Canis lupus familiaris: one gene and its partners. The protein of the gene in region 6 purifies or fractionates together with the protein of the main gene of each other region. This does not show direct contact. Links are inferred from orthologs where the notes say so. Each region holds a gene or a part of one and is shown on either strand. Other genes may lie near its edges. The genes, in order: IQGAP1, PPME1, PABIR1, CDCA4, PPP2R1B, PPP2R2B and IER2.

What was found.
Region 1: the proteins of PPP2R2B (region 6) and IQGAP1 purify together in Homo sapiens (co-immunoprecipitation; 3 studies listed by BioGRID and IntAct, with this or other methods). This does not show direct contact. The link is inferred for Canis lupus familiaris from reciprocal best matches to the Homo sapiens genes PPP2R2B and IQGAP1.
Region 2: the proteins of PPP2R2B (region 6) and PPME1 purify together in Homo sapiens (affinity purification with mass spectrometry; 3 studies listed by BioGRID and IntAct, with this or other methods). This does not show direct contact. The link is inferred for Canis lupus familiaris from reciprocal best matches to the Homo sapiens genes PPP2R2B and PPME1.
Region 3: the proteins of PPP2R2B (region 6) and PABIR1 purify together in Homo sapiens (affinity purification with mass spectrometry; 4 studies listed by BioGRID and IntAct, with this or other methods). This does not show direct contact. The link is inferred for Canis lupus familiaris from reciprocal best matches to the Homo sapiens genes PPP2R2B and PABIR1.
Region 4: the proteins of PPP2R2B (region 6) and CDCA4 purify together in Homo sapiens (affinity purification with mass spectrometry; 4 studies listed by BioGRID and IntAct, with this or other methods). This does not show direct contact. The link is inferred for Canis lupus familiaris from reciprocal best matches to the Homo sapiens genes PPP2R2B and CDCA4.
Region 5: the proteins of PPP2R2B (region 6) and PPP2R1B purify together in Homo sapiens (affinity purification with mass spectrometry; 4 studies listed by BioGRID and IntAct, with this or other methods). This does not show direct contact. The link is inferred for Canis lupus familiaris from reciprocal best matches to the Homo sapiens genes PPP2R2B and PPP2R1B.
Region 7: the proteins of PPP2R2B (region 6) and IER2 purify together in Homo sapiens (affinity purification with mass spectrometry; 3 studies listed by BioGRID and IntAct, with this or other methods). This does not show direct contact. The link is inferred for Canis lupus familiaris from reciprocal best matches to the Homo sapiens genes PPP2R2B and IER2.

Annotation. Positions count from the first base shown.
Region 1 is NC_049224.1:54,169,912-54,174,089, forward strand, and holds the end of IQGAP1 (ras GTPase-activating-like protein IQGAP1), read right to left. Parts: intron 3,413-4,178; coding exon 3,304-3,412; intron 1,493-3,303; coding exon 1,379-1,492; 3' UTR 596-1,378; downstream 1-595. UniProt on the Homo sapiens protein: Plays a crucial role in regulating the dynamics and assembly of the actin cytoskeleton.
Region 2 is NC_049242.1:24,168,648-24,172,825, forward strand, and holds part of PPME1 (protein phosphatase methylesterase 1), read right to left. Parts: intron 2,557-4,178; coding exon 2,433-2,556; intron 1-2,432. UniProt on the Homo sapiens protein: Demethylates proteins that have been reversibly carboxymethylated. Demethylates PPP2CB (in vitro) and PPP2CA. Binding to PPP2CA displaces the manganese ion and inactivates the enzyme.
Region 3 is NC_049222.1:89,251,516-89,256,122, reverse strand, and holds PABIR1 (protein FAM122A), read left to right. Parts: upstream 1-1,578; 5' UTR 1,579-1,693; coding exon 1,694-2,557; 3' UTR 2,558-4,210; downstream 4,211-4,607. UniProt on the Homo sapiens protein: Acts as an inhibitor of serine/threonine-protein phosphatase 2A (PP2A) activity. Inhibits PP2A activity by blocking the substrate binding site on PPP2R2A and the active site of PPP2CA.
Region 4 is NC_049229.1:72,866,289-72,869,688, forward strand, and holds the end of CDCA4 (cell division cycle-associated protein 4), read right to left. Parts: intron 3,060-3,400; coding exon 2,325-3,059; 3' UTR 674-2,324; downstream 1-673. UniProt on the Homo sapiens protein: May participate in the regulation of cell proliferation through the E2F/RB pathway. May be involved in molecular regulation of hematopoietic stem cells and progenitor cell lineage commitment and differentiation.
Region 5 is NC_049226.1:21,381,260-21,385,437, reverse strand, and holds part of PPP2R1B (serine/threonine-protein phosphatase 2A 65 kDa regulatory subunit A beta isoform), read right to left. Parts: intron 2,944-4,178; coding exon 2,822-2,943; intron 1-2,821. UniProt on the Homo sapiens protein: The PR65 subunit of protein phosphatase 2A serves as a scaffolding molecule to coordinate the assembly of the catalytic subunit and a variable regulatory B subunit.
Region 6 is NC_049223.1:40,433,047-40,437,224, forward strand, and holds part of PPP2R2B (serine/threonine-protein phosphatase 2A 55 kDa regulatory subunit B beta isoform), read right to left. Parts: intron 3,254-4,178; exon of another isoform or gene 3,109-3,253; intron 2,984-3,108; exon of another isoform or gene 2,830-2,983; intron 2,571-2,829; coding exon 2,377-2,570; intron 1-2,376. UniProt on the Homo sapiens protein: The B regulatory subunit might modulate substrate selectivity and catalytic activity, and might also direct the localization of the catalytic enzyme to a particular subcellular compartment.
Region 7 is NC_049241.1:49,468,408-49,472,941, forward strand, and holds IER2 (immediate early response gene 2 protein), read right to left. Parts: upstream 2,645-4,534; 5' UTR 2,446-2,644; coding exon 1,777-2,445; 3' UTR 788-1,776; downstream 1-787. UniProt on the Homo sapiens protein: DNA-binding protein that seems to act as a transcription factor. Involved in the regulation of neuronal differentiation, acts upon JNK-signaling pathway activation and plays a role in neurite outgrowth in hippocampal cells.

The DNA of each region.
Region 1 (4,178 bases), on a different chromosome or scaffold from region 6:
CAAAATTCCTATCACCCACATTTCAAGAAATAAATGTACACTTTAATAAGGCACTCTTACAACATAAAACAGATTTGAGGACAATCATTTTACGTATGCTAGGGCTGGCCCCTCCTTTTGCCACGGGGACAGAGTGGACTGCCTTCCTGAACATAGCCCCCTTCTGTGCATCAATACATACAAGCAGGCACCGCAGACCACTGCAAACCTGCCTACATAGCTGGGTTTATTGATGGGACTCTCCCTCCCGCTGATGAGAGAACTACACCAACAGTACTGCTCAAATTTAATGGTGACATTTTATTTTATTTATTTTTTAATGGTAACATTTTATTTTATTTTTTAAAAAGATTTTATTTATCTATTCATGAGAGACAGAGAGAGGCAGAGACACAGGCAGAGGGAGAAGCAGGCCCCATGCAGGAAGCCCGACGTGGGACTCAATCCCGGGTCTCGAGGATCCTGCGCTGGGCCAAAGGTGCCGCTAAACTGCTAAGCCACCCGGGCTGCCCTAATGGTAACATTTTATTTTTTTTTATTTTATTTTTTTTTTTTAAAGATTTTATTTATTTATTCATGACAGAGAGAGAGAGAGAGAGAGAGAGAGAGAGAGAGAGAGAGGCAGAGATACAGACAGAGGGAGAAGCAGGCTCCATGCAGGGAGCCCGATGTGGGACTCGATCCTGAGTCTCAGGATCACACCCCAGGCTGCAGGCGGCGCCAAACCACTGCGCCACGGGGGCTGCCCTAATGGTAACATTTTAAAACTGTGTCTCCCCTTTGCTAGAAATGTTTCTTTGAACACAGAGCACTGACTTCTGTTAGCTCCTGCTTATAAAGGAAAACAGTGGAAGAGAACCAATGAGCCCCTGGATCCTTCCATTTGACCGATGGGATGGAAACGTAAAGGAATTTCACCTTCAAATGACAACTGAATGCCAGGAGATGACCTGACTTGTGAGTTGTGTGCCTTATGTGCATGTGTTATTCGTGTTGATAGATCCTACTTCCAAGTAACAAGAATTCAAGCCCCACCATCCCTGTTGCTAATTTAAACACCAAAGCTTACAATAGAGTAATGCAGCCTCTAAGACCATAACAACAGAGATTTTAGTGGAGCCTCCACTCTTTCCTAAGTGACGGAAGAAAATGAGGGGACAAGAGGGTCGGACAGCCTGAAATACAGTTTCACTATGAAGAAAGGGCAATAGACATCCCATCAGAGTGGGAGGGTTAAAAACGTGGCGTTGGGAGTGTATCAAGTTGAGGCTTTTTTGTGGCCTGGGTCTTTGCTTCCAATGAGTAAAGAAGGACCCAAGAAAGGTCACCGTGAGGAGCTTCTTTCCTTCATCCTTCTGGTCTGGTGGCAATGGATCAATTACTTCCCGTAGAACTTTTTGTTGAGGAGGAAGATCAGAAGGTTGACATTTACTTTAGCTCTATTAAATAATTTCATGACTGCGACTCCTTCATACTGTAGCTGCAGCAGGTCCTATAAAAACAACATTTTACAGTCAAACAAGTCTGTGGAATAAGAAAGGACATGATGTAGGGAGGGATCCAGAAGGAACAAGGAATGACAAATGTGAAGTGGTGTGAAAAAGAGGTGCCCAACCACAGAACGGTCCACTGCACAACCACCCTGAGACTCAAGGAATGGGACATGCTGCTCAACAGAATATTCTGGTACATCTGTATATCAAAATACACAAAACATGGAAAGAAAAAGCAGCATGTTCACTCATCACACATACTTCCTATTTCAGAGCTGACAATAACGTGTCTCCAGTTTGTCTAAGTGATGGGTCACCTGGGGAAGGGGGAGGCATTTCAATCTATGATAAAATATACTAATCACTGAAGACAGGATACAGCCACTAACGTCATCTCAATAGTATCCACTAGAGTCTTACTTTTTATTTCACGTGAGAAAATTTCTATATTTTGAAGGCAAGGGGAAGAAGGACAAAATGTTTATTAGGTGCCTCCAGTGTGCTCAACATTGGGTAGGCACATCAGATAGTGTCTTTTTAAGTCCTGATAAAAGTCCTATAGGTGTGATTATCCCGAGTTTAAAGATGAGGCTCAGAGATATTCAGAGTGGCATGGAGTGGATCTGGATCTGGATCTAGAGCCCCTGCTTCTCCCATTGCCCTCTACTGTCCAGAGCACATTTAGGAAGTGAGTAGTCTTGCACATGAACTTCAGAAGAGACAGAATGAGTCAAGGCACTTGAAAGAACCCAAAGTTCAAACAATGCAACTTCTGGAAAAATTCTAGCAGCTCCATGAGAACGAAGGCCCTGGTGTGTCACCTGTGCCTGACAGAACACCTGCACCTGATCCTCATTCTATATTTAATGCGCCTGTGCACGGATCAACATGCTACCGAGGCAGGCTGGTCGGCCTGTGCAACGCTGGTGAGACTAAAGACGTGACAGGATCTTTTTTTTTGGGTGTAAGCACCTGAGCATGTGCATCACAGAATCACTTCACTTTTGTTCAGCTAACATGTTTGAAGGTCTACTCATCACTAAGGAGGAAATGAAGACACACTACCGTGGGTCCTTAAGGAGCTCACGGTCTGGCAGGCATGTGTGCAGGAATAAATGAGAGGGCTGGGGGGTGGGCAGCAGGTGCAGAAGCCCAGCACACGTTCAGAGATGGCCCCTGCCCAGGCCCACAGAGCACAGCAGTGAGATGCAGTACAAGGAATGGGACAGAAGTGATGAGGACACACACGGAGCTGTGGAGCCTGGACAGAGCCCAGGAGGCCTTGTGGTACCCTGGTGCTTTTCTACTGCGTAAAGACTAGAAATATTTTGGAATAAAAAATAGGTTAAATTATGTTATAAATGATTCACTGCAGAGTTCTTCCCGAATTTAAAATGGGATTCAGTTTACAAAGATGCAATTTATACACATCTTGTCAGAAATACACTTTTAAGTCCCCAAAATCAAATCAAAATGAGAAAAGATTTCAAGCTATTGAATAGGTTTACAATTTTCTACTATCATTACTTAAACATTTTGTTCAACGTCAAGGTACCAGTTCAATTTAGTGCCAACACTAAGTAGTAGCTTCAGATAAAAGCTTTCAGAAGACGTCCAGATCTGCCCAAGCTCTCCAGGGAGTACAGACCAAGTCAGATGCACAGCAGCCCTCAGCTCCTTTCCCGCCTGTGTGGGCGCTGGCTCAATGCAGGGTGATCCAAACATGTGTCTTTTTTACCTACTGTCCACCCCAAAAAGAACACAACCACATCACATATAAAGTTTTCAGTTCTGTATGGTGCATACCCACCTGATAATGCAACATAAATGTCTCCATTTGAACACCCATGAACTTGGCTTTCACTTCAAAGTCTCCAACTTCTTCTGTTGGACTGATTTCAAAGATAACATTTTTAAACCTGTTGAAACATAACATCATAAGGGTGTGATTTTTTTCATTCTCATATAAAAATATTCTGTGAAATGTAGAAAGAATATTAACAATCTTCAAGGGGTGCCTGGGTGGCTCAGTTTGTGAAGCATCTGCCTTTGGCTCAGGTCAAGATCCTAGAGTCCTGGGATTAAGCCCCACGTGGGGCTCCCTGTTCAGCGGGGAGTCTGCTCCTGCCTCTCCCTCTGCTCCTCCTCCCACTTGCGCTCTCCCTCTCTCTTTCTCAAATAAACATATAAAATCTTAAAAAGAACAAAACAATCTTTCTTCAAGAGTGAAAAGGGGTACCAAATAAAGGCCCAAAACACTTCTACAGGTAGAACAGTGTGTGGCTACTACTCTAACTACCACATGCTCGGAGACTTGGGGAGAGCCGGGAACCTCTCCCTGCAGCCCTTGCATGCTGTGGGAAGAGGGACCATGGAGGAATGCCACCCTCTGAAAGGATGATGTCACAGGAATTCTCTTGGCTTTCCCCGTGGCCACTGCTTAAATCCAATGGTAAAAGGATAATCAAGGGGAAACTAGACTGGAAGGAGAGGGAGGAAAGGATGAATGCATGTTTGAGGATTGTAAGAAGTGTGTAAGTAAACAAAAAGGGGTCAGAACAAAAAGCCATGAGAGGGGGTGCCATAGATACAAATGCACTCAGTACCAAGTACCACCAAAGATACATTGCTATTTACCAAGAGTATTTAAGGTATTACTCATTCTCAATATGTTATAAGCCCAGA
Region 2 (4,178 bases), on a different chromosome or scaffold from region 6:
ATGTGTTGATTTGATACATTTAGACATTACAATATACAACACCATAGCGATAGCTAATACCTCTATTATGTCACATAATTACAGTTTCTTTTTGTCCTAGGAACAATTAAGAACTAGTCTCTTAGTAACTTTGAAGTTTATAATATTGTTGCCTGTAATTATTATGCTGTACATTGGATCTCCAGGATCTATTTATTTACCAGTTGCAAGAAGTTGTTTGTGTTGTTTGGGGTTTGCGCCCTTCCTCAAAGGTAGACTGTTTCAGTTGTACTCCCTATTGCCTGATGTGTTTCAGTCTGCCCTCCTAACAAAACTGCTGGAGTTGACTAACTCCATATAACTGGGCTTATAAAAAAAAATTACAAGGAAAAAATAAGCAGAAATTAAAAACCAGAGGATCTGGGTGTGTTTCAGCACCAACATTATAGGTGTCTGTAGGCAAGTAACTGTACCTGAGTTGTAACTGCATCTACAGTGAAGAGCTAAAATGAGAACTAGGGATGATAAATATGATATACTTAGTATAGCTCCCAGTACATAAAAGGCAAAAAAGTAATTGACAGTTTGTATCAGAATCTTAGATCTACTAAATATTATTTCATTACCTTGGGCAAGTCTCTTCATCTCAGAGTCTCAGTTTCTACACTGTTAACATGGGAGAAAAGATCTCACCTCACAGAATGTACGGAGGGCAAATTAATCATGCACTGTTTATATTTTTATAAATTTCTAAGAGGTACACAGAATTACTTATTGATCTTAAGGACGACAAAAAGATCTTCATTAAATTAAAAATTCTGGGGATCCCTGGGTGGCGCAGCGGTTTGGCGCCTGCCTTTGGCCCAGGGCGCGATCCTGGAGACCCGGGATCGAATCCCACATCAGGCTCCCGGTGCATGGAGCCTGCTTCTCCCTCTGCCTATGTCTCTGCGCCTCTCTCTCTCTCTCTCTGTGACTATCATAAATAAATAAAAATTAAAAAAAAAATTAAAAATTCTGTTTAAAAAAATGTACAGTTGATGCTTAAACAATATAGGTTTGGACTGTGCAGGTCCATTCACACATGAATTTGGAAACAGTACTATAAATGTATTTTCTCTTCCTTGTGATTTTCTTAAGAATATTTCCTTTTGTCTAGCTACTTTATTATAAGAATACAGTATTTAATACATATAAATATACAAATTATATATTAATCAACTAATTATATTATTGGTAAGGCTTCTGGCCAACAGTAGGCTATTAGTAATTAAGTTTTTGAGTCAAAAGTTATAGTTGGTTTGGGGTTTTTTTTGAGATTGTATGAGTGTGCACGGTGAGTGGGGGTGTGTGCAGAGGAGCAGGAGAGGAACAATTCTAAGCAGGCTCCACACCCAGCACAGGGCCCCATGTAGGGCTCAATCTCTGACCCTAAGATCATGACCTGAGCTGAAATCAAGAGTTGGACACCAACTGAGCCACCCAAGTGCTCCAAAACTTAGAGTTGGATTTTTGACAGTGTGTGTGGGGGGTGGGGGAGGGCACGGTGTCAGTGTCCATAAGCCCCGTATTGTTCACGGGTCAATTGTCTTCTCCTCCTCGCGATTAGTAGCATCTCCAAACATCAAGGAATATCTGGTGTACAACAAGTTGATTACTTGCCATTTGTAAGATGTTTATAATACATCCCAGAAAGTCTGCTGCTCATGCTCACGCTCACTAACCATTTCCCCAAAAAAGCACCCTTTCCCACTACTATCCCCAGATCAAGTGTTCAACAAGTATGCACAGAACACTTGTGAAGCACACCACCCCCAACCTAATGCTGAGGGAAATTCATATAGAACATTAGTTCCTGTGCTCAAAATACACAGGTTATTTTTGCTGGGTGACAATTCTTGTGCAATTAGAGGACACTGAATCTACATTCTAGAATGATTACAGGAGACCATAGTATCTTAGGATGTGGTTTATGAAAATTAATTCTATGACTTAGCCACAACTTCAAAAAAGAAAATGCTAAGTTATGTTATACAGATTCAGTGCTATACTGGAGATAGACTGATGTAAAATGAGGTCAGAAAACTTCTCCAAAGAGATCCACCTTGAAAGATGAATAATATCTGATGGGTTTAGCATAGAAAGTAAGAAATCAGATTTTTCTCATGAGATAAACCATAGGAACAGAAGTACCATCATGGGAAAGAATCTGATGAGAGAGCAGTCTGTTTAAGGGTAGGGTATATAACTGTAAGTTTATGTTTCAGTTTGTCAGAGCTATCAACAAGTGCCTTATATCTTATAGTTAACCTAAATATCTATGATGATAAGATCTTCACCCCCTAAAATATCTAATGGTGAACAAAAAGAACATGTCACCTCCCCTTCCGCACCCCCACACACTCTGAACCATTCATTGCCCCATCCTTCCAAGAATACCAGTTTTCACTCACCTCCATGTCATCTTCCTTTTTCCTCTTGTTTACAGACTCACTTCCTTCTTCGTCTTCTTCTTCTTCCTCTATGATACCTTCCACTATAGATTTTGAGCCTTCTGGACTTGTAATTCCTTCACACCTAGATGGTTTTTTTTTTTTTTTAAAGTTCCATCACACATCTCATCTCTCTTTTATACACAATTATCTCAGAGATACTGATACTTATAGTCTTTACAATCAAATGTCAGTTAAAACTTAACAATGCTTCTGGGAGAAGGAGGATGTGAACAATGTGCATTTTAAAATGTGCAGAAATAGATCAGGGCTGTGGAAGGTCATGGTCATGGTCATGGACTATATTCCAAAGGCTGGTTTCCAGTTCTTGCACCAATACTGACCCACAGAAGGGAATAATCATTTCCTGCGGCATGGTGACAATATATATATTATCTTATATAATCCACATAATAATCCTATGAAGTAGCCCTGAAAAGTAAAAAAAAATTGTCCAGGATCACCTTGCTCATTAGCAGATGAGGCTGGAAGGCAAATCCAGGCTTAATTAACTTGAAAGCATAGTACTTTTCTACTGTACCCTGCTTCCAGTAGAATAAGGCTCAAACAGCTTGGTAAAATGCCCCTACTTTCAATTAGCTGATAGAAACTGATAATTACAATAACCAGAGCCAGCTGAACCTTGGAGATTAGAACATCTGATCCAATCAATTACTGTTGTTTTTTTCCTCTAAAAAAAAATCTCTATTATATAATTAGGTAGAAAATATTACTATATGAACAGTTGATACCATAATTCCTTTTAGAAAGAACTTGCTGGAAAAAATACACTGGCAATATTAAAGGTAAAAATCCCAAGAACCTAGGTAGCAGCTAGTGCCAAGTTCTGTTCTGCATGATAAAGAATTTGTTATTTTGCCCTTGAAAGGGAGAGAGAAGGGAGAAGAGGACAGAGAAGAGGCAAGATAAAAAGAGACTGGGATAAATTGAAGGGTCAGTGAAACTTCAATGGTGGATTTTTAACAGTGATAACTTGTCCTTCCTTGTCTCCTCTATCAGTCTCAGTAAAGTGGTGTGTTCATGAAATGTTTTGTCAGGTGGGGGTTTTCTATGGGACTTGAGGTGTCAAGTTTCACATCTAAGATCAAGGTAGTATAACAAAGAAACAACTTGTGCTTTGGATTTCCACAGCTATGGATTAGGAAATTCAAGAGAATTTCACCTAGATCAAGAAGGGCAGGAAGGTTCCACATGATATCTAGGTGACAATTAAAACACACACTATATACATAAGTTTACATATTAAGAGAAGATATACTTAAATTTACATACTAAGTAAAATTTTTAAAATTGCTGAACTACCTGAATACAAGCCATATAACTTCCTCACAAAATGCTTTACCATTGATTCAACAAATCAGATCTCAAAATATTTGGGCATTGAAAAGCAGGCAGTCTCATAGCTTATTCAAAGACTACACTGTGTCTGCTAGATATTACTCAGATTGAACATTTAAGCATAAAGTCCATAATATAGGCCCAGATGTCAAATACACAGGAGACTGAATCTGAGCTGTCATTCACTAGCTGTGTGATCCTGGGAAAGCCACTTTACCTTTCTGAACTTCCATTTTCTCACCTCTAAAACAATACTTATCTTAAAGAGGTATTATAAAGATCAAATGAGATAGTGCACATGAATTAATGAATCCAGTTAATAATCATTTATGGCTATCAACACTCAAA
Region 3 (4,607 bases), on a different chromosome or scaffold from region 6:
CCATGCTGTGTATCCAGCGGAAGCAGGAAACCTAGGAGTTGCCTTTGAATGGCCTGTTCATTTCATCATCTAAATCCAACCCATCTGAGGCCTGTCCTGTTGGTTCTACTTCTCCTTGTCACCACGGCTACAACCCTAGCCGGGTCCTCTGCCTGCGCCTCGGCGGTCGGTTCCTCATCGGCCTCTCTGCTCCCACCCTTGCCTACTTTCAGCCTAATTCCCACCCAGCCCAAGTGATCTTTAAAACCTAAACCAAAAGAACACCACTCTCCTGCTTTAAACTCCCCAGTGGCTTTTCATTGTACTTGGGATGAGAGATCCAGACTCCTCTGCGCCCTCACAACCACTCTCCCCCCTGCCCTTTCTTCTCTTGGCGCCAGCTCACCAAACTGACATGTCTAGGGCTTTACTAGCACGTGCTGTCTTCTGTGCTTAGAGTATGCATCCCCCAGATGTCAGCGTGACTTGCATCTGGAATTTAGATCTCCGTCCTTTCTAATTGCCCGCCCCCCCTTTCTATCAGTAGTGCTCTATCACACCATCTTTTTTTTTTCCCCCCTTTCCTAAGGTTTACCACGATCTGAAAACAGCTTTATTTATTCATCTCTCTCTTTCCTTGCAGTAGAAATGAAATGCCCTCCTATTAGGGCCTCCTTCCTACCAGTGCTTAGTGCATAGTAGGTATGCAAAAACAAAACAAACAAAAAACCCCAAACCGTGATTTTCATGATACCAAAATTTATGTTAATTGCCTAAGCTGAGTGTTGTGTTTTTAGAGCGTGAAGCCCTCTTACTTTTGCCTCCGTTTAAACCCTCGTAGGGAATGAAGATGATCTTGGAGCACACATGCTCGTGCTGGAAACGGGACTAAATTAAGAGGGCTCCAGGGACAGGCTGGCTTTCGCTCCGGGGCCTCAACAGCCTCCCCCTCTCACCCCCCACCCCTGCTTCCAGGACTGCCTCTCCTCCGGCCTCCCTCCTGCTCCCTCCTGCTGCTTCTCCTCTCCCAACGACCCCATTCCCTGCAGACAGCAGCCTGCAGGCTTCGCTGCGGGGGTTACACCCTTTCCTTGACCCCACCCCCCCACCCCCCCCACCCCCGGAGCTTTCATTGTTCTTAGGATCAGGGCCCGGGCCACCACCTCCACCTCCGGCAGGCCAGCCCCCCCCCCTCCCCCGGTCCCCGCCGCCCACCGCGCTTCCCCTTCCTGGACGCCCCGCAGCCCGCTCCCGTTCCGTGTCCTCCGGAGGTCAGGAGACGGCCCCTTCCTCAGGGAAGCCCTCCCTGCTTAGGCCAAGCTCCGCTCCCCTTCGTACGGCCCCCGCATCGCCACCAGCCTCTCTGTCAGAGCTCTGCTTTGCTACACCCAGACTCCGGGGACTATGGTGACCTTCGGAAGCCGCGTCGCCGCGAGCTTGCGGCTCGGTAGTAGTAGCTAATTGCGGAAGAAAAGGGCTGAACGGCCGCCGCCGGGCCCCTCGGCGCCCCTCCCCCTCGGGCTATGACGCATTAAGCAGGCGCCGCGCGGAGAGAAATCTCAGGGCGCCTGCGCGGAGGGGCACGCATGCGCAAGAGGACGAGCCCGCTGACAGATTGGCGGCGGCGGCGGCGGTGGCCCCAGCCCTGGCCCTGGACCGCGGGGAATGGGAATCCCAGGTCTCTGAGCGCCGCCCCCGCCTCCCTGCCCCCGACATGGCTCAGGAGAAGATGGAGCTAGACCTGGAGTTGCCTCCGGGTGCTGGCGGGAGCCCGGCGGAGGGCGGCGGCAGCGGCGCGGGCGGGGGCCTCCGGAGGTCTAACAGCGCCCCCCTGATCCACGGCCTCAGTGACACTTCGCCGGTGTTCCAGGCCGAGGCGCCGAGCGCCCGGCGGAACAGCACGACGTTCCCGAACCGCCACGGCCTGCTGCTGCCGGCCTCCCCGGTCCGCATGCACAGCAGCCGCTTGCACCAGATCAAGCAGGAGGAGGGCATGGACCTCATCAACCGAGAGACCGTCCACGAGCGCGAGGTGCAGAACGCCATGCAGATAAGCCACTCCTGGGAGGAAAGTTTCAGCCTGAGTGACAACGACGCGGAGAAGTCCGCCTCCCCGAAGCGCATCGATTTCATTCCGGTGTCACCAGCGCCGTCACCCACCCGGGGGATCGGGAAGCAGTGCTTTTCACCATCCTTGCAAAGTTTTGTGAGTAGCAATGGATTGCCTCCGAGCCCTATTCCCAGCCCAACGACTCGGTTTACTACCCGGAGAAGCCAGAGTCCCATCAATTGCATTAGACCAAGTGTTCTTGGACCACTGAAAAGAAAATGTGAAATGGAAACTGAGTATCAGCCAAAGAGATTTTTCCAGGGCATCACCAACATGCTTTCTTCTGACGTTGCACAGCTGTCAGATCCTGGCGTGTGCGTATCGTCTGATACCCTTGACGGAAACAGCAGCAGCGCCGGATCTTCTTGTAACTCACCAGCGAAAGTCAGCACTACCACCGACTCTCCTGTGTCGCCTGCCCAAGCGGCCTCTCCATTTATTCCAGTAGATGAACTTTCATCTAAGTGATTCACCCTCCCATCCCGAGACTCGTTGTTTTCTGTTTTTGTTTTTGTTTTTGTTTTTTTTTGCAATGGAGAGAAAAATCAAGTTGGAGCAAGCACTGAACTTTGTCAATTAATTTGAGGCTATTTCCTATTCGACCCTTTCCTTTTTTTTTTTTTTTTTTTTTTTTGGAATTTCCTGAGATGTTGTTACTCTAGAGAACTTTTATGTCAGGTTCCTGCGGGTGCCCTTGAATTCAGTGTAGTGATATTTTCAGACGTTTTCCAATAAGTGTGTTGAAGCATACGTCTTTATGCTGCTAATATGTTTAAATACATATGTTATCCCTTGATTTTTTAAAATAATCGAGAGCTCTATTTATTTATGGGATTATTAAGTTCTGATGCAAATATAAATGTTGAATTAATCAGTATAGTAAACTGATGTTTTAAAATTCCATATTTCATGCCCACACTAATTTTTGATGTTATTTTTCCAGTGGTCGCTAATTTCTATTTGATGGAGGATAACCTAGTTACTTACAGCGGTTTTTAAAAATATGTTAGTTATAACATAGTGATCCAGTGGTTGTCTATTTTACCCAGGAATCCTCGGATATTTAATTTTCTGGGTACACAAGTGGCTGTGAGGGGGGAATGATAAAAACAAAATATAAAAGTTTGCAACAAGTCTTTTTAAATTAACTATATAAAAGTAAACAAACGCATTTTCTAATGAAGTTTTAATAGTAATTCTAATAAGTCATGCCAATATAACTACAGAAAAGTTTAAAAATTTTTTCTAGACCAGAAAGTGCATTCTCTTGGGTATAATCCTGAAGGGACATGGGACAGTGCCTTGCAGTCTTAGCCCACTGTACATAGGCTGAGACCAGGTCCTTTGTACCACTGCAAACTTAAAAGTTTCTCAGATGTAGAGAATGTGGGAAGCCCTGTTGAACTTCACCAGAGCACCCAGGCAGATAAAAATCTCTCAATCATTGATATGCTTTAAAATATCCAATTGTGCCTCAGTGAAAATCCCTGCCAACAAGGAGCCAGAGCAACTTTTGGCTGCTTTTCTGCTCTGCCCATCTGTTACCTTCCTGGTTTTCCCTGGCTCAGGAAGGAAGCCGCTGTTTCCTTGCCAACAGGTCCTTCCTCTCCACCTCCCACCAAACTAGGGCATCATCGGTTAGACAGAGGTACAGTGTGACTTGGATTTCCGACAGTGAGCAACAACAGAACTGTGGAATTGTTGCAGGAACCTGTGTAGTTAAAGCCACAGCTGGATTTGACTGCCTTGGGGATGCCAGTTGATTAAGGGTCAGTGACTTGAAAGAGAAAAAAAAAAATCAGTGGAGAGTCACATAGGTAAATCGTTATTTAACTTAGATTTTGTTAAAGGTAGAATTGTGAAATGTTCTTTTCTTTGCCTTTTACAACTAAGACAAAATATGAAAATATTTAATAACAAATGTTTTTATATTATACCTTCCTATATCTTCCTTTACTAGATAGGTAGAAAGAATGGCAGACAAAAAAAGGGGAAGAAATAAAAGAGACCAAGACAAAAAGCTCCGGCTTTCTTTAAGTAACTGCCTACAGAGACTTTAACAATTATGTGGAATTTTTTTTTACAACTACGAGAATAAATGGAACTAGTCAACTTTTGAAAGTTGCCTTAAGAGTTCAATGAAACTATGTTGAGGGTAAGATTGTGTCCACAGGCTTAAAATTCTCTGTTCTGGGTAATAGTTCATGTGTGCCAGTCCTGACCTTGTTCCTCCAGTATGTCCAACTTCCTGTTGGGTACCTTGATCTGCTTCCAGACGTACTGTAACCTCAGCATCTCCAAAACAAAAGTTAGTATCTTTTCATCGAACCTGTTCTTGAGTTACCTAAATTGATGTGCTCGCTGATTTTCTAAACGAGAAACCATAGAAAGCGTTTTTGACTTTCCCCTTTTCCCTGTCACATCCAGCGTGATCACTCAGTTCTGTCTACTGAAGTGAACCTGAGACCTCTCCGCTACACTGCTTCTGTTGCCTCTGATTCAGCTTAGGTTCCAGCCT
Region 4 (3,400 bases), on a different chromosome or scaffold from region 6:
CTGTTGCCAGGGCAGGAGGAAACCTTCCTTCCTCCTGCTGGGATGGTAGCAGTGTGTCCAGGAGCAAGGGGCGCATCTTCCTGTGGGGTCTGCAGTGGTCAGTGAGTGGTGGGGCTGAGTGCTCCCCCTGATGCCATTCTAGAGGGTGTCCTGATTTTCACACCACTTCAGGTTATACCTTATAAAAAATACTTTATTTTCCACAAGAAAAACCTATGGAACCTGAAGGAGGCAGTGGGTGGAAGTCTCAGCCTGGTCCTGGCTCCTCCAAGGGCACCGTCCCCAAATCCAGCCCAAGACCTGGGGCAGGGAGGTGGGTGCAGAACCACAAAGTGTGGGTGGTCGGCAAAATGCTGACTTAACACACCCAAGTGCAATGGGTAATGCGGCCGCACTGAACTAGGAAAAAGAGATCCCCTGGAGAATTATGATGCAGCTGATAAAGAACACATTTCCATTTGGTTTGATGGATAATTTTTAAAATTTTTTTTTTTTTTTAATTTTTATTTATTTATGATAGTCACAGAGAGAGAGAGAGAGAGGCAGAGACACAGGCAGAGGGAGAAGCAGGCTCCACGCACCGGGAGCCTGATGTGGGACTCGATCCTGGGTCTCCAGGATCGCGCCCTGGGCCAAAGGCAGGCGCCAAACCGCTGCGCCACCCAGGGATCCCTGATGGATAATTTTTAATAAAGAGACGCATACATGGCTGATGTTAAAGAAAGGTCACATGTTGGAAAGAAACAGGTCTTTTTGGCCAAGGGCTGGGTAAGGAAGGAAAGGCAGAAGCAGGAGTGGGGCAGGAGTGGGGAGAGAGTGCGGTCTTACATGTAAACCAGTGAAACAAATAAAGGTCTGAGTGTTCCTAGCGTCCAGGACAGCGTCACGGGGTCACGCGCGCAGGTACCCCAGAGCCCACTTAGGTGGCCCTGCCCCACCAACCCCACCAACGGCCCCCAGGATTGGGAGGTCACATGTAGTGAGTGTCCAAATTTAATTCTAGACTTAACCTTGAAGTTCTGCCCAGCACCAGCGTCCCAGAGCAAGCGTGGCACTCTGCAGGCCCGCGGTACCCAGACAGCACCCTTCCCATGCACACCGGGCACCCAGCAGCCTGTGCACGCCAGCCCAGTAAACGTGGGTCCAGCAGCCAGGCGAGTGTTGACCGTTTTACCAGCAGAATGGGTTTATTCAGGAATAAGAGAATCGCAACCCACTATGGCAGAACCAGAGGCAAGGCCAACAAATGAGAGGAACGTTATTTATGGAGGAGGGAGGAAGTTGGAAGGGCTGTTCTGAACAGAAGTCCACAGGCGAGAAGTGGGAGTCCAGGATGACAGGGACTCGTCTCTGGCCGTTTCTGGTGGGTTTCTTCCCGTGGGGCCTGGAACCAACTCTCCGGCCGAAGCTTCTCCTGCTGGGCCAGTGACTTACGATCCTTGATGTCCAGTGGGACAGCGGGAGAGCCCCCCGGACTCCTCACTGCATTTTAATGACGCTTCCCTTGATCAATGTCCACGCCAGTCAGGGGCCTCCACGGTGGCAGGGCACGTACAGGAGGGGGCCCGGGAGTCAAGAGCCCCTGAAGGCACCGCCTGACGCCCCCGGGGGCCGGAGACCCTCGCCTCCAACACTGACACATAAATAGGCATAAATAAAACCCTCCGAGATCCACACTGGAGACATGGCTGGCACAGCAGATCTGGTAATGACACTCAAGAATAAGAGGTGGGGCAGCGCAAGGTGCTCTAATTGTAACAGGACGTGGAGAAGGCTCACGCCAACATAAAGAGAAAATTCATGATCCAGGTACGCTACACAGAACATAGTGAAGCCTCGTGTAAAAAAGTCCTTATTTAAACCTTATAAAAAGAAATACACCGACTGCAACTGTTTAGGTTATAAGTTTCTAATGTAGCAGCAGAAAATGTTTATAGAAAAAATATACTTTTAAGAAAATAGCTGAAAAAATCTAAAAAGATAAAAGTATAAAAAGTTTAAAAAATATATCTTAAGACAAAATATTGCCCAAAACATATAAAACTTAATTTAAAAAAATTCACCTATCTAAAGTTAAACCAGGCTGGTCACGGAGCTGCAGCAGGACACCAGCGGCCGGCCTGGGTGACCAGCCCAATGGAAAACCACGCAGCCCCTTCAGGAAGAAAGGGGAGAGGGCGACTAGATGTTGTTCTGGAAGGTTCTCCTCATCACAGACAAACCAGGCGCTGAGCTCGCAGATGCACGGCAGCGAGCACTCCCGGCCACTCTGGACGCCTTACGAACCCATCCGTGAAGTGTCCCATCGGGGCACAGGGGCCCTCTCAGGTCTCCACCAGGATCTCCACCGCGTGGTCCAGCTCGCCCAGATCCGACCTGCAGCTGGAGCCGGGAGGCGGGGTGGCCGCAGCGGTGAAGGCCTGGAGCCCACTGCCGTGGCCTGACTGGGTGCTGCCCACCATCCCCGTGAGCACCGCGTCCAGGTCGTAGTAGGAGCTGTCCACGTCTGAAAACAGCTCCTCCACAGAGCCAGGGGTCTTACTCTCCAGCGTTTCAAAGATCTGATCTAGTGACTTCTGAAAGCCTCCTCTGTTCTCTCGAGAGCTGTCCACTTCCCAGAGGCTGCTCTGCGGGCTCCGCAGGGCCTGTGCAGATGGGACCGCGGAAAGTCCCGGGACCAGGCCTGGCGTGCGGCCATCTCCCACGTCAGCGGCAGGGCGCTCCCCCTCCTGCTCCCGCACCGAGCGACACAGGATCTCAGTGGACACGAGGCGGTCCAGCGGCGCCCGCCCTGCCGCCTGGGGTGCCAGCACCCGCCAGGTCCCGTCCTGGGTCATCTCTTCTTGGATCTGCCGGACCGTGTTGGCTATGAGGACCGAGCGACAGAGGTTGGGCTCGACCAGCATGTGGCACAACTGGAGTTTGACCAGGGACATGTCCAGGAGCGACTGGCGCTGCAGGCTGTAGGAAGGCGTGGCCTGGGTGCCCGCCAGGCCTCCTTCCACGTCCTCCCCGTCCTCGGCGCTTTTTCTCTTTAACCCTCGTGCAAACATCGTGCCCTGTGGAAAGCAAGGAGATGCCGTTTAGCACACTGCAGAGTCCCCAGCAGACGCTGCCCTGAGACTCAGTCTGCAACTGTCAAAGACGGGGTTCCTGGGAGGGGACGGCTGCAGTTACACGACCGCTGTGGCCCCGTGGGCATGTGTCCAAGCAGGGCCCAGCTCCTGGGACAGCCCTGACACAGAACAGAGGTCAAAACCACCACACGGCCCCCCCCCACCCTCTGCCTCCATCAGAAAAAAGAGAAAAGGACTGTAAGTAAGGGAACACACTCGCCGGGAACAAGGCTGGAACGCTACACCCGGATTCTGGGCACTGGTGCCCACTGGGCCCACAAGGG
Region 5 (4,178 bases), on a different chromosome or scaffold from region 6:
TTCTTGGTTATGAGTTCGGGCAGCGCCGGCCACGGGTAACACCGACAGAAAAGCATTCACGAGAAGCCACATCCCACCCAAAAATGGGCTTTCGTCATCCACCTCCAACTTTCAGGTCAAGCTCCTGGGCATAGGGTCCAAGGGCCTGAGGGTCCTTCTCAGTCCCCAAAGTCCCACAGGGAGACGGTGCCGAGAAGGCCAGAGCTCGAGGGCGCTGCTCCAGCTGGCCTCCCTCGGCTCCGTTCTGTCCTCAGCAAAGGCCTCTCCCCTCCCAGCATCCAGAGCCAAACTCCGTAGATGGCCCCAGAAGCCCCCCGACTTCTCTCAGTGGCGGGGGGCAGGGGGGGGTCACAAGGACAAGCAGCCCCTCCTCACCCAGGAGCTGAGACTCCTGAGCCACACAATGTCCCCCATCCCCCCACTGCGGGCTAGTGGGAGCACAGGGGACAGAGGCCAGACATCCTCGGGGCCTGTATGGCTTGGAGTTTGGGGAAAATAAGTAAAACTGAAAAAAAAAAAAAAAAAAAACCCAAGGGCGGAAAGAAGCAAGGGGTGCAGGAGGAGAGGAGACTCCTCGGCCGGTGTCTGCAGGACAGGCGGCTGGACAGGCGGCTGGATGGACGGGAGCGGAGGAAGGGGGTTCGGCCCCACGGCGCCCACAACCGCTATTTACGGATGCTTCGCCTGATGCGAGTCCCCAGACCTGCGCTCGCGGGGAGACTGAACGTCCCTCACAGCTGCTCCTTCCTGCAATAACAGGACTGACATCACTGTTGTCAGGGAAATGGTGTTTTGATTAAAATCATGTGACAGCTACTTCGTGATTCAATAAACAAATCCCCTGTTAACCCTCGCCTGACAGGCCAGTGGCAGCTCCCTCGTCAGAGGCCAGGAGGGTGGCCACGGGGGGTGGGGGGATGGGAGGGTGAGAAGGGGGGGGCCAGCCGCGCCAACACCACCAATGGGCAGCTGAGTTGCCCTGGGCCTGCGGGGGCTCAGCAGCGCTGCTCCCTGGCAGGCCCCGCGGGAGCTGGCAGCTCTGCAGGCCCCGGCAGGCCCCGGCAGGCCCCGGCAGCGCCCCCGCCCTAACTCTCCCTTCGGGGCTGCCGGCCCTGACTTCCCGCGGCTCCCAGGGCCCCGACGAGCGACGAGCAGCGGCTGAGGCGGGTCCAGGGCCGCGACAGGGACAGTGAGCGAGGGGTTAAGAAGGATTCCTGGTTCGCTCTGGATGACTTCCTGGATCACTCACTTGGCGCCTGGCCCCTGACACGCAGGGCCCTGCTGGCAGCACTCCGTCCCCTCCCTCTCACCCGGGCCACTTTCCTAGGGTCACACAAAGGCGGGGAAGGCAGCCTGAGGGTCAGGCCAGGGGGTTCTGGGTTAAATCGTCCACAGCCTCAGGGGCCTCCCGCGGGCCGGGAAGCCCCAGAAGGCAGAACAGGACTGGGGGGAGGTTGGCGCCCCGGGAAAACCAGCGCCTCCCACCCAGGGCTGTGAGGACCGACTCGGCCACCAGGGCCGGTCCCCAGCTACTCCAGGCCCAGGTCAGGGGCGACAGGCACCTCATGGCCCGGCCAGGCGGCCCTGAACTTGTAGAAAGCCCCTCACACCTTTCTTCCCAAGCAGGGCTGCGGGTCGGGCCTAAAAATATGCGACTATCATTCCTGCTCCTTCAGTGAAGGGCTCCTCCCAGGCCGCGCTCCGTGACACCCAAGGGCTGAGGGCTCAGGCGCGGGGCCCCCCAGACCAGCCCCGCGGCACCTCGGCCTGCACAACAGGAAACCGTTCTCATGGCCTCAGTTTACATGAAATGAAGGGAAAGCCACGGGGCCTTAGAACAAGCGTTTCGATGTCAGAGCCTTCACCAAGCAGCCCCACCCCTGCAGGGCGAGTGCCGGCGTCGGTGCAGCGGGGCTTCCCTGGCCCAGCGGACGCTCACACAACACGGGCTGAGCCACGCGGGGGCCACGGACGGGGTCACCCCACAAACACAGTCCTGCCGGTGTATTTCTCCTAGGATTTTCTTAACACGTGCTCTTCTCTCTAGCTGACTGGATCGTAAGGGCGCAGTATGGAACACACACACCATACAGTGTGCGCTCACGGGCTGTTGGTGGTGTCAGTAGGCCTCTGGTCAACAGGCTATCAGTAGCAATGTTGGGGGGGGGTCAGAAGTTATATGCAGATTTTTGACTGCACCAGAAAGGGGGGCAGTACCCCTAATCCACGCTGTTCAAGCGTCAACTATATCTGTGAGCCCCAGGCACCCTCCTAACAGCCCCAGGGCTGTGACCCATACCAGCTCCAATTAACAAACAATGACGCTCAAATTCAAAACGTTTGCACATCTTCTCTAGAGTGGCATCAAATGGGGCTTTGGACCATTACCCAGTAAAAGTGACAGGAATGGTTTTGTCCTTGAGCGGACAGGACCACCTGAGCGGAGTTGTAGCAAATATGGAGGGTCTATAGTCTCTGAGCTTAGTGGAAATAACCCATTTCTGTAAGAGCTCTTCCCCAAGCACCCTTGTCCGGTGTGTGAGCCTCGCTGTCTCTGAGCGGGGCGGCGGGGGGGAGGGGGGACCCCGAGCCACAGGAGTGACAGAGCTCCGAAATGCCCACCCCTCAGAAATACTCTCAGGACGAAGGACAAGAGAGAGGACAACAGGCTTTAAAAATATACTCTTGGCCCTAAAAGCCGGCCTGTCTCCGCAGGGAGTTAGGGCGCTGCTTCAGTGGCTACCTGCCGGAATGCCAGGCCACAGCGACCATGTCCACCTCAGCCCCCAGAGGAAGGGACCCAGGTGTCAACAGCACTTACCTTCCCGGTGTCCTCTCCAGGCCCTCTGGGTCTCAGGAAGTGGTTCTTGTCAGCCCCAGGGCCGCTGGGCTCCTCACTGTCCTTCACAGGGAAATCTAGCTTCCTCAGTCTCTGGGCCACCGCTAGAGATACAGACAGCAGTCCAGTAACGCCCCTGACCCTGACCCCCTGACCAGGGCACGGCCCTCCTCAGCCCACCTGCGCCTCCCAGGCAGGACGCCCCCAGGTGGGCAGAGCACAGGAACCTACAAGCGTGTGGTCCCCTGGGCAGAGAGAGCTGGTTCGCCCTAGAACCTTCCTGAAAGTGCCTTTCCCTCGAGCGCCATGGAAAGTGTCAGCTCGGGGCTCCCCCGCATCTTGGTCACTGCCTGCCTACACACCCCCAACCAGGCAGAAAAGACCTGGATCCTTCCAGAACTGGTAATATCAGCCTCAGAGAACTCTGGAGAAATAAACTACTTGGCTTTTCTACCCAATGAGTAATTAAACTCATCTTCCAGATTTCCATCTCAACTGAACATTATGTAATTTCCTGGAAACAGCAGGTTCACGGAGACAAACGGGCAACAGTGAAACCACCGCGGGTACGAGGACGGGAGACATGTGAGTGACCAGGAAGAAGGGGCAAGGAATGGAGGCAGGACACACAACAGAGGGAGACTGTCATAGAAGCACAGAGTACCCATCACTTCAGCCTTAAAGTGAGGGTACAGCTCCGTCTCCCCTCAGGTTTCCAAGCAGAGATGACAGAGGAGACTCCAAGAGAAGAGTGCCAGGAGGAAAATCAAGTGTTAGAGGAATTTAAGTAAAGGCAAGAAGGAAGAATTAGCATGCAGTGCATTTGGCCACCCTGCCCACCATCCCTGGGTGGGACACAGCCACTGTGACTTCTGCAGGAAAGCACCAGATTGTCAACTCTGTGGCAACACAGTGACTAATACATAAGATTGCACCAAGAAAGCATTGCTGGAGCTCCACCACTGGCTCAGGAATGACAGGTCTGTCTCCCCAGAAGGCCTATGCAAGGATCGCAGATGCTTGGATGAGACGGCTCACAGGTCAGGCTGCCGGGCTGAGTCAGAACAAGCCATCCAGCAAAGACCCCTGAGGCCTTGGCTCCCAGTGGCCAAGCTGTGGCATTTCTGGGAGCTGAGGACTCTGACTTCAACAAGCCCTCATTGAAAACCAGACATTAACCAGGGCGTCCTTATGAAACAGGACGTACCTTCAGGTTCCTGTCTTCTTGGCAGCACAGAGGAAAAAGATCTAGTCTCTCAAACCTGTGACAGGTCAAACCCACGCAACATAGGAAGAAACACTAAGGTGGATTCCAGGGTTGAGGAGCCCTCTTTATTGG
Region 6 (4,178 bases):
TTTAAGTGAATAAAGGAGGAGGGTACTTTTGAGGCAAGCCCTCAACAGAAAGGATTTTAACAATTAATATTTCAATCTAGTGATCTTTCAAGGTGTACTCAGCACTTCCAAGGTATTCATCAGAAGAGAGAGGATGGACTCTTGCCCTTCTGGCCAGCACCACTGCATGAATGTTCCCTAAAATGAACAAATTAAGAGCATGGAGAACTTCCAGCTCTGCCCAACTTCTGCTATTTACATTGTCCAAGTTCCATTTTTTTTTTCCTTCTTCCCAGACTGTCAATAAGATCAGGTAAAGAAACTTGAAGGCATACTAAGAAATAAAGGTTTTGTTTCGTTTTCGGCATGGTGTGTGTGTGTGTGTGTGTGTGTGTGTGTGTGAGAGAGAGAGAGAGAGAGAGAGAGAGACAGAACGTTCTGAGAGGCTGACTCTTTAGAAAGATTTTATAGAGCTGTCTGCTATAAACTCATGCCTCATTTTTGACTACATGAACCCAGTTATTTTAACCAAAATCAGAGTCTATAAAAATGCCATAAAACAGGAACAACAATCAGTGCAGTACCTGGGGTCCCCAAAGCACTAAGGAATTCCATTTTAACTCATTTCTTCATTCTGGAGATGATACCCCTATACACACGGTCCCAATTTGCCCATCTTCCCAGCTCAGTAAGTTTCCTGTGCCTGCGCTTGGAGGCATAATGCAATCTAGAAGAAAACACGAAGGCAGCCCTCTTTCTTTGTTGTCACAAACAGAAAGAAGTATCACCCGGAAAAACCAATAGACCTAAGGCCAACTTCTCTCTTGGATGACATGCTGAGACACAGAGACTACACAGGTAGTCATAATCTACCTGGTAACTGAGTCAGTGACAAAGCACTTGAGACTGAGAAAGAACATCTTATCACCACCCTGTCATCCTGCAAATGAAAAGAATAGGCAAGTATGGTGCCTGCATGGGGGAGGGACACGCTGAACATCTCTTAAAAGCCACCTCTAAGCTCCTGAACGCCAGAGCTCATACAAGTCTGCTTAATCTGTCTAGCACCATGGACATATTAGGCTGGATGCTCTCCAAAAATGATGATGAATGAAGAATATATTTTCAATATATTCACTAGGCATTTTTTTTAACCTAAAACTTACTGGGACGTTTATAGAAGATGCTACCTTTGCCCCCACAATTGTATCTTTCTATTTCTTTCAGAGTTTGAACTCTTTTACTACCTTGCCAAACCCATCGCATTTTTCTGTGAGTCTTGGTTTGATTACATACTACAGAAATATTAGCATCCCATCAATGCCAAGAATCGTCCTAAATGAACATACCTTGCTGTGTTTTCCTAAGGCATTTTCACACACATTTACTCACGTGGATATTACAACGTGATAATGCAACACTTTCTATGCGGGCTTAAGGATAAGGGCCTACAGGTAGAAAATGAAGGCAAAAATGCAAAAGTTTTGGCATTTGAAAAAGAAAAATGCCTCTTACTCTCTGTTCACACACAAAAGGCAGAATGTGATTCCACCTGCTGACTTCCCTGCCTGCCTGCTAACGTCAGAACAAGCAGAGAGAGAGAGAGAGAGAGAGAGAGAGAGCGCCTCGACAATTTCACCTCTTGGCCAAGCCCAGCTTACTGAACCCTCTTGCTTTCTGCTGGCTGTTGATTCAGCAGAAACTACTGCTGCAGAATTCATAATGGTGATTTTAAAGGCCCCACTGATCGCATCGCTCGCCCCACGTGTCAGACTCGTTCGCTCGCTGCTGGAACGCCGTCTCCCCAGCTACCTTTTTATTTCTTGCTCATGCACTGCCAAGGGGAGAGGGGCTTGCCCTTCTGCCAAGGGCCTTTCGGGGTTCCGATGGTCTGAGCAGGTAACCTGGCCGGAGGCACAGACCGGCAGGAAATGAAGCCGTGCCCTCCCCGCAGCCCCTGAGACACAACATCATTCCGCGCAGGGAGGGGAGGCCCTCGGGTCGGAGGTCCGCCGGGGCCCCCTTCTTATCTCCCCACCTAGACCTCGGCAAACACCTCGGGAGGGGGGGGGGGACATGTGCCTTCGGGGGAGGGGGCGGTCATTTTTCCGGTCGGGAGCCCCACCCTGCAAAGCCCGATCCCCGAGGGCCATTTTAACTCCCGTGGGCGCCGGGTCCACCTGCTGCTGAACGCCGGGCTGGCCTCGCGGAGCGCGGGTGGGTGTGGGGCGCCCCGGCCGCTGCCCCCGCGGGCCGAGCCCCCGCCCCGGCCCCGGCCCCGGCCCCGGCCCCGGCCCCGGAGGAGTCTCCGCCGCTCGGCGCCCGCGGCCGGCCGAGCCCAGCGACCCGCAACTTGCGCCCGGCCCCAGCGGCGGAATGCGGCGGGGCTGGCGTTACCTTCGGTCGCATAGCTGTGGTCGCGCAGGAAACTGTTGTTGATTTTGCGGGTATCAATGTCCTCCTCCATTGACAGCAGGCTTACTTGCGTGGGAACCAGAAGCCGGCAGACAAGTATCCATGATCCCTCCCCGCAGCCAGTCTCACAGGAGAGGGGGGCAGGGGAGCCGGAGGGACTGCACCATGGTCCGAGCCTGAGGAGGAGACGGGGAGGCGGAGAGAAAAAAATAAAAACCCGGCAATGGAGCTGTCACCTCCTCCGCTCGGGATCTCCGAGGCTGCGGCGGCTCCTCCCGCGGTGCGCTCACTCCGGCTCCGGTTCCCGGCGAGGATGCTGCGCCCGGCTCGGCGGCCGCCGGGGCCGAGATCCGAGATGCGCCGAGCCCCGAGGGGTCCGGCCCGCCCGCCGCCCGCCGCCCGCCGCCCGCCGCCCGCCGCCCGGCAGGCGCTCACCAGCGGGCTTGGGGAGAAGCCCAACAGGTTCCCCACGCTGGCAGCCGCTCCAAAATGCAAAAAAGGTCCCTCCTCCCCCCGGGCGAGCGGGCGGCCGCGACAAAATGGTGCCTTTCGGGCCCCGAGCTGCGGTGGCGCGGCGGCAGGGGCCGGGCTCGGGCCGGGCCGGGCCGGCGGGGAGCAGGGCCCGGGGCCCCGGGAGGGCGGCTCGGGCGGGCGGGGGCGCGGACGGCGGCGGGGAGCGGGGCAGGGCGCCGCGGCCGGCGCCAGCGCACTCACCCTCACGCCCACACGCGCGCGCTCGCAGCTGCCGCCGCCGCTGCTGCAGGAGGAGGCTGGAGGCGGCTGGTGCATTAAAGGCGAGGCTCCTCCCCACCGCGTCAGCAGCCCCGGGACTCTTCCCCGGCCGCGCCGGTGGCCGCGGCGGAGGCTGCGGCTGCTCCCTGCTGCAGTGGGGCGCACGCGGCCGCCAGCCCGCACCTGGGCGCCGGGGGCCGGCGGGCAGGGGGTCCCGGGAGCGCGGCGCGCGCGCTCTGCCAGCCGCCCTCCAGCCGGGCCACGCGGCCCCGGGCGCCGCCGACTCGCGCCCCGCACCCCCGCACCCCACCCCGACCCGCCCCCGCCCCCGCCCCCCGGGCCCCTAACTCGCTGCCTAGATCCGGACACCTGCGCTTCAGGTCCCCGTGGGTAGGCAGGGACACCACCTCCGGGTCCCTGGCGCTCACCCGCTAGGAGGTACTCGGTCCCTCCATCCAGTTCAGCGGCGAGGCCTGGGGTTCGAAGCCTCAGGGAGGGGAGGCTGTGGGAGGAAGGGCTGCCGCCGTCGCCTAATTGAAGCCTCCTGTGCTAGGAATAGAATCGGGGGAGCGGGGGCCAGAACTTCTGTGCGAGCACCTACGACTCCTCCATTGCAGAGTCCACATCCCCTTCTCACCGTGGGCGTCTGTGTCTACACCGCAGAGGGAAGCAAGAGGGCTGAGTTTGGAAGCTGGTGCACGGAGGAGTCGGCCTGAAAAGGTCCACCGTCCCCGGCCCTTCGCACTCTGTTTTGGACAAAGTGCCGCAGGCCCCCCTGCAGGTGTTGCCCGTGAAGACTCAGCCCTGCAGGAACCGCTGACATTTGCTCCCAGCATGGGACGGACGCTGGAGCCCTGTGCCCACAGACGGCCCCTGCTACCCTGAGATTTCAAAGATCCAATTAAGGCGAAAAAGAGACCTGCCTCCCTACTTCACCCAGGAGGAAAATACAGAATTTCCCACCCCCGCCTTCCCCCACGTTTCCCCCAAATTGCAGATTCTGTATTTGAAAGAAAAGTGGATCGCTAGTGTCATGAAACCAGTAAAATCCT
Region 7 (4,534 bases), on a different chromosome or scaffold from region 6:
GCCGGAGCCAGCCGTCTGGAGGCGGGGCGGCGGCTTTCCCGGGGCCTCCCGCCGCCCTGGCGGCCCGCACCTGCGGCTCCTTTGTCCTTCCCACGGCCACCCCGCCACCCGCCCCGGGGCAACGCCTTGCGGCCCCTCTCCTACATCAGCGGTGGGTAAATGATGAGCGTTTCTCCTCTGGGGTGACTAACATGGAGCTGGAATGGAGCCAAATCCAGTAACGAGGGCTCTCACGGGCATTTCCAAATCTCCAGTCGCCCCGCGGGAAAGCTGTTTAGAGGCCTACTTCACAGATGAGGAAACTGAGGCTGGGAACTCACTTCCCGGCCTGAGTCACACAACTATACCGCTAGAGATGAGAGCAGGGGTGTAAAGGGCCCTCCAAAGCTCACCTCAGTTCCCCCCCAAGCCGTGGGGCCCCAGCCAAAGCGGATGCAGTTGGTCAAGTGGGGTGGGGTGGGGGGAGATCTGCTATCTTTCCCAAGTCCCCACCCAATTTCCCCCAGACATCTCAACCCACCTGAAGCCCACCTCTCCCCACCCCCGGAGTTTTCGAATTTCTAAGAAACTCCCAAATATGGGGGAGCTTAAGGAGTCGGAACCTCAGGGCACCCAGTACGGAAATGCTCTGGCAAAGAAAAGGGGGCCCAGCCCCATCCCGCCCACTCTGCCCACGTGATAGCCGGTCAGACCGGTTTCTGGGGCCCCAGCAAGCCGCCGCCCGCTCCTGACCCCTTAACCCTGCCCATCCCCCCATCAGGGAAGAAAACCAGACGGGCCGCAAAGACTTTATTCAAATGCTCTTTATTTTCCTATCTGGCGTTTCCAGCAAAAGGCCAGATAGATGAAATTAAACAGAATCCACCACAGTAAAGGTAAACAGACCTCAGAACGCCCTGGCAAGAATCTTCCCCTCCCCGGGCTGGCCCAGTCTCACCAGCAACTGGTCCCAGCTCAGCCTTACAGAGCTCCAAACACCCCCACCCAATTTTTGTGATTCAGACCAGGATCGTCTGGGTTGTGTCTGTGTCTGAGGGATGGTCACGCTTGAGACCGTGAACATATTCCCACCTCTAACGCACCAGATGAGAAAAATTTTAACCTGAAATTAGATCAGCCCCCCCGCTATGCACCCGAAGGCGCAGGGGCGTGGGGCACAAACCCGCAGCAAGCGGTGCGAGGTGACTCAGGACGCCCTCCTCCCATTCCCCAGGGCGGTCCACACCCCAGACCCTCCTCCCAGGCCCCACACCCACGCAAGGCAACAGGAAGCTCCCACGTCTGCCCCATGACGCAACGATGACCGCTTGCACAAGTATGTCACTGGTGGGGGAAGGGGAGCGCCTGCCTGGAATTCTCTGAGGTTGGAAATGCAAACACCAACTATTGAAAAACCTTGAAAGGGCAGCACAGCTCCCAGTAAAAACTAAAGTCCGACCCTGAGGAGTTGAAAGAACCAAGCCTCCCTGCTCCCAGTCCCAGAAGGAGAGGGAAAGGTCCACGTCCCAGTCCGTTAAGACAGCACCTGTGGGCGCAGCAGGTCTCGGCGGAAGGCGCTCGCGCTCCCGGCTCAGGCTCCTCGGCGCCGCCGCTGCGCACAGACGGCGACGGCTCCCCGGGGGCAGAGTCCCTCTTTAGGCCTCAGCAGCCCGGGCGGCAGCTCCTCTCCACGGTTTCGGCGGGCGCTCCCCCGGGGGCGGGCCTCGCCTCGGGTCTGCGCACTCCGGCCGACGCTTCGGCCCGCGCTTGGGCTCCGGTGGCGCCGCTCGGGGACCCTCAGAAAGCCACCACGGCCCGCACGAGCACGTTCAGCATGCTGTCCGCGGGGCGGCAGGCCGGCTTCGCCTCGCACGCCGGCGGCGCCGTCGGGGGGGCGGCGGGGCTGCAGTTCAGGAGGCCAGAGAAGCGCCTCTGTAGGACGCGCGCCAGGTTGGGGAAGGCGCCCTCCGCTTGCGCGGGAGGTGGCTGCAGGCGATCAGGGACCTCCGAGGAGGCTCCTTCCTCCTCCTCCTCCTCCAGACGGGCTTTCTTGCTTGGGACCAGTCCGACGTCCCCGCCGTCACTCAGGCTGCTGTTGCGCCGCTTTCGGCTGACTTTTGTGGGGCGCGGGGCACAGCGGGCTGGGGTCTCCTCCGCTCGCGGCGCCTCCCGCGTGTCCATGGGCTCCGGGGAGGTCGGCTCACCGTCGGGGGGCGCTGCCTCGGCTCCAGCTTCCGCTTCCCGCGACTGGTGCAGGCGAGGATCGGGGGAGCGGACGGGCGGCAAGGGCACCTCGGGCTCGTGGGCTTCCACCTTGGCCGAGAGGTAGAGCTCCCGGGCGCTGCGCATGACCAGCGACAACTGCAGACTCCGGTGCAGCCGCAGGCCACCGCGCTGCATGCGCGAATGGTACATCTTCCACACCGACAGAGTCATGATGCGTTGTGCCTCCTTCTGCACTTCCATGGCGGCTCGACGGCAGGGGCGAGGGCGGCGGGGACTCCCTGGCTGGGCAGGACAGGTAGCAGGTGCACTCCGGGCAAAGCGCTCGCTCACGCTTCTCCACTCACGCCAGCCCACGCCGTGACACTGCTGGGACGCTCTGCCCCGGCGCCCGCCACCCGGGCCCTTTTGTACCGAGAGTGAAGTCACCGAGACGCCCCGCCCAATCAGAGAGCCGCATCCGGGCTTCCCAACGCGCGGCGGTGAGATACTCCTTAAAGCGACAGGGTGGAATTTACCGAGTGGGGGAGAAGGGACGGGAGTCGGAGTGAGGGGGAGCGTTCCCGAGTCCACGCGGAGCGCGCGGGGTGGTCTCCTTTCTCGGGGCCCTCCGTGCGCCGGTGCGCAGGCTCAGAAGAGGGGAGCCGCGGGTGCGGGTCCGAATCCACCCACGTGCTTGCGTCTGAAACCCCAGCTGATTGTAGGCGGCAAGTTTCCCTTCGCACGGGGGAAGACCGGGTTCGAACCGGCACATCCTCCGTGGCCACAGTTCCTAGCATCTACCAGGTGTCTAATTAATGGTTTTTGAATCAGAACCTATTAATGTTTTTTGGTTGGGTAACCGTGCTAACGCTTACTAAGCACTACCCGCCGGGCGCTGTTAAGGGCTTTCCTTCACTAAATACCTCATTGATGCCTCATTTCCACTCCGCGGAGGGTACTGTTACACCTGATTTCTGCAGGTGGGGATATCGAGACAGAGTGACACTGTTCAATATTTGCTAAACGAATAAATGGGCCACTGGGGCCTCCAGCTCTTGCGTCTCTAGCGTAAGCCAACCCTCCTCAGCCCCCTTGTCTGAGGCGGTGAGGCGGCGGGCAGCGCGGCTGGCTCCAGGGCCGTAGCTGCCCGTTCCACGGGGAGTGGATGTGTGCAGACACGAGTGCAGCCCGGGCTGCCATTCGTGCGCTCCACACCGAACACCACCTTCACCTCCAGTTTCCCTCTACACGAGCTCCACGAGTGGGCTGGAGACTCGCAGAACAGAGGACCCGGGAACACGACAGTCCCCGTGAACACGTGGCAGCGCCCCCTAAGACTACATGGCCCTGCTCCGCCTCTGCGCCCCGGGCAGCGAGGCTGGGATAAAAGCTGTAAACTGAGCAACGCAGAGATAGAGCAGATAGAAAACGTCGGCCCCACCCTCCGCTACGCCCTATCGCTCCAAGAAAACCTATATCCAGTTCCTCCAAAACAAGATGCAAAATTATTCCTAAGCTCTATTCATTCGTGGCAAGGGCCCTTTAAGGGAAGGCTCCTCTCTCCCCCTCCGTCCCCTCCCCCAGCCGCCGACAGGCGGGCAGAGTCTTCCGGCCACTGGAAGCGCCAGACTTCCACGGCTAAATTTGGGTATGATGACGTAGGGCAGGCGCGCGAGGCGCTTCCGGCTGCCCATATAAGGACAGGGGCCGGAATCTCCGCTCGGAGCCGCGGCAGCCCCCTTCCGGGAGGGCGGGGGCGGCGCCTTGGCCTCGGAACACGCCCCCTCCCTAACCGTGTCGCTCTCCCGGCAGCTCCGACTGGCTGTAGGCCCCGGCTTCCGGACCGGAGTCCAACCCGGCGGGCTCCGGAGGCCAAAAAGGCGTGACGCCTCCGGGAAAACCCCCGCTGGCAAAAAGGGGCGATCTCAGGACTTTCACTGACGCCAACTCCCCGAGACCCTACACAAAGACCTTGCCAACACATGGGGCGGTTCGCTGACGACCCCTTCATCCTTGTTACCCCATAGAGACCCCACAATTGTTTCTCCCTACAAGGTTCTCCCCCAGGTATTCTTGCTTCTCCCCTCCCCGCCAAATCATGCAGCCTTGGAGAATCCTCACGCCCGGTCCTCATTTATGGGAGGGAGGGGAAACTCGACTCAACAATTACTTGCTCTTCTTAAAACTGTCCCTATTCAGCGACCCTACACACGCTCCGGCGACCTGCTGAGGTCCCCATTTCCCCCTGCACCACCGCGGCGAATCCACAATGACGTCCCCAGCCCAGGCGCGCTCTCTCTGAGACTCTACGCAGCGACTCTGAAGCACAGGGGCGCACAGACTCTCCAAG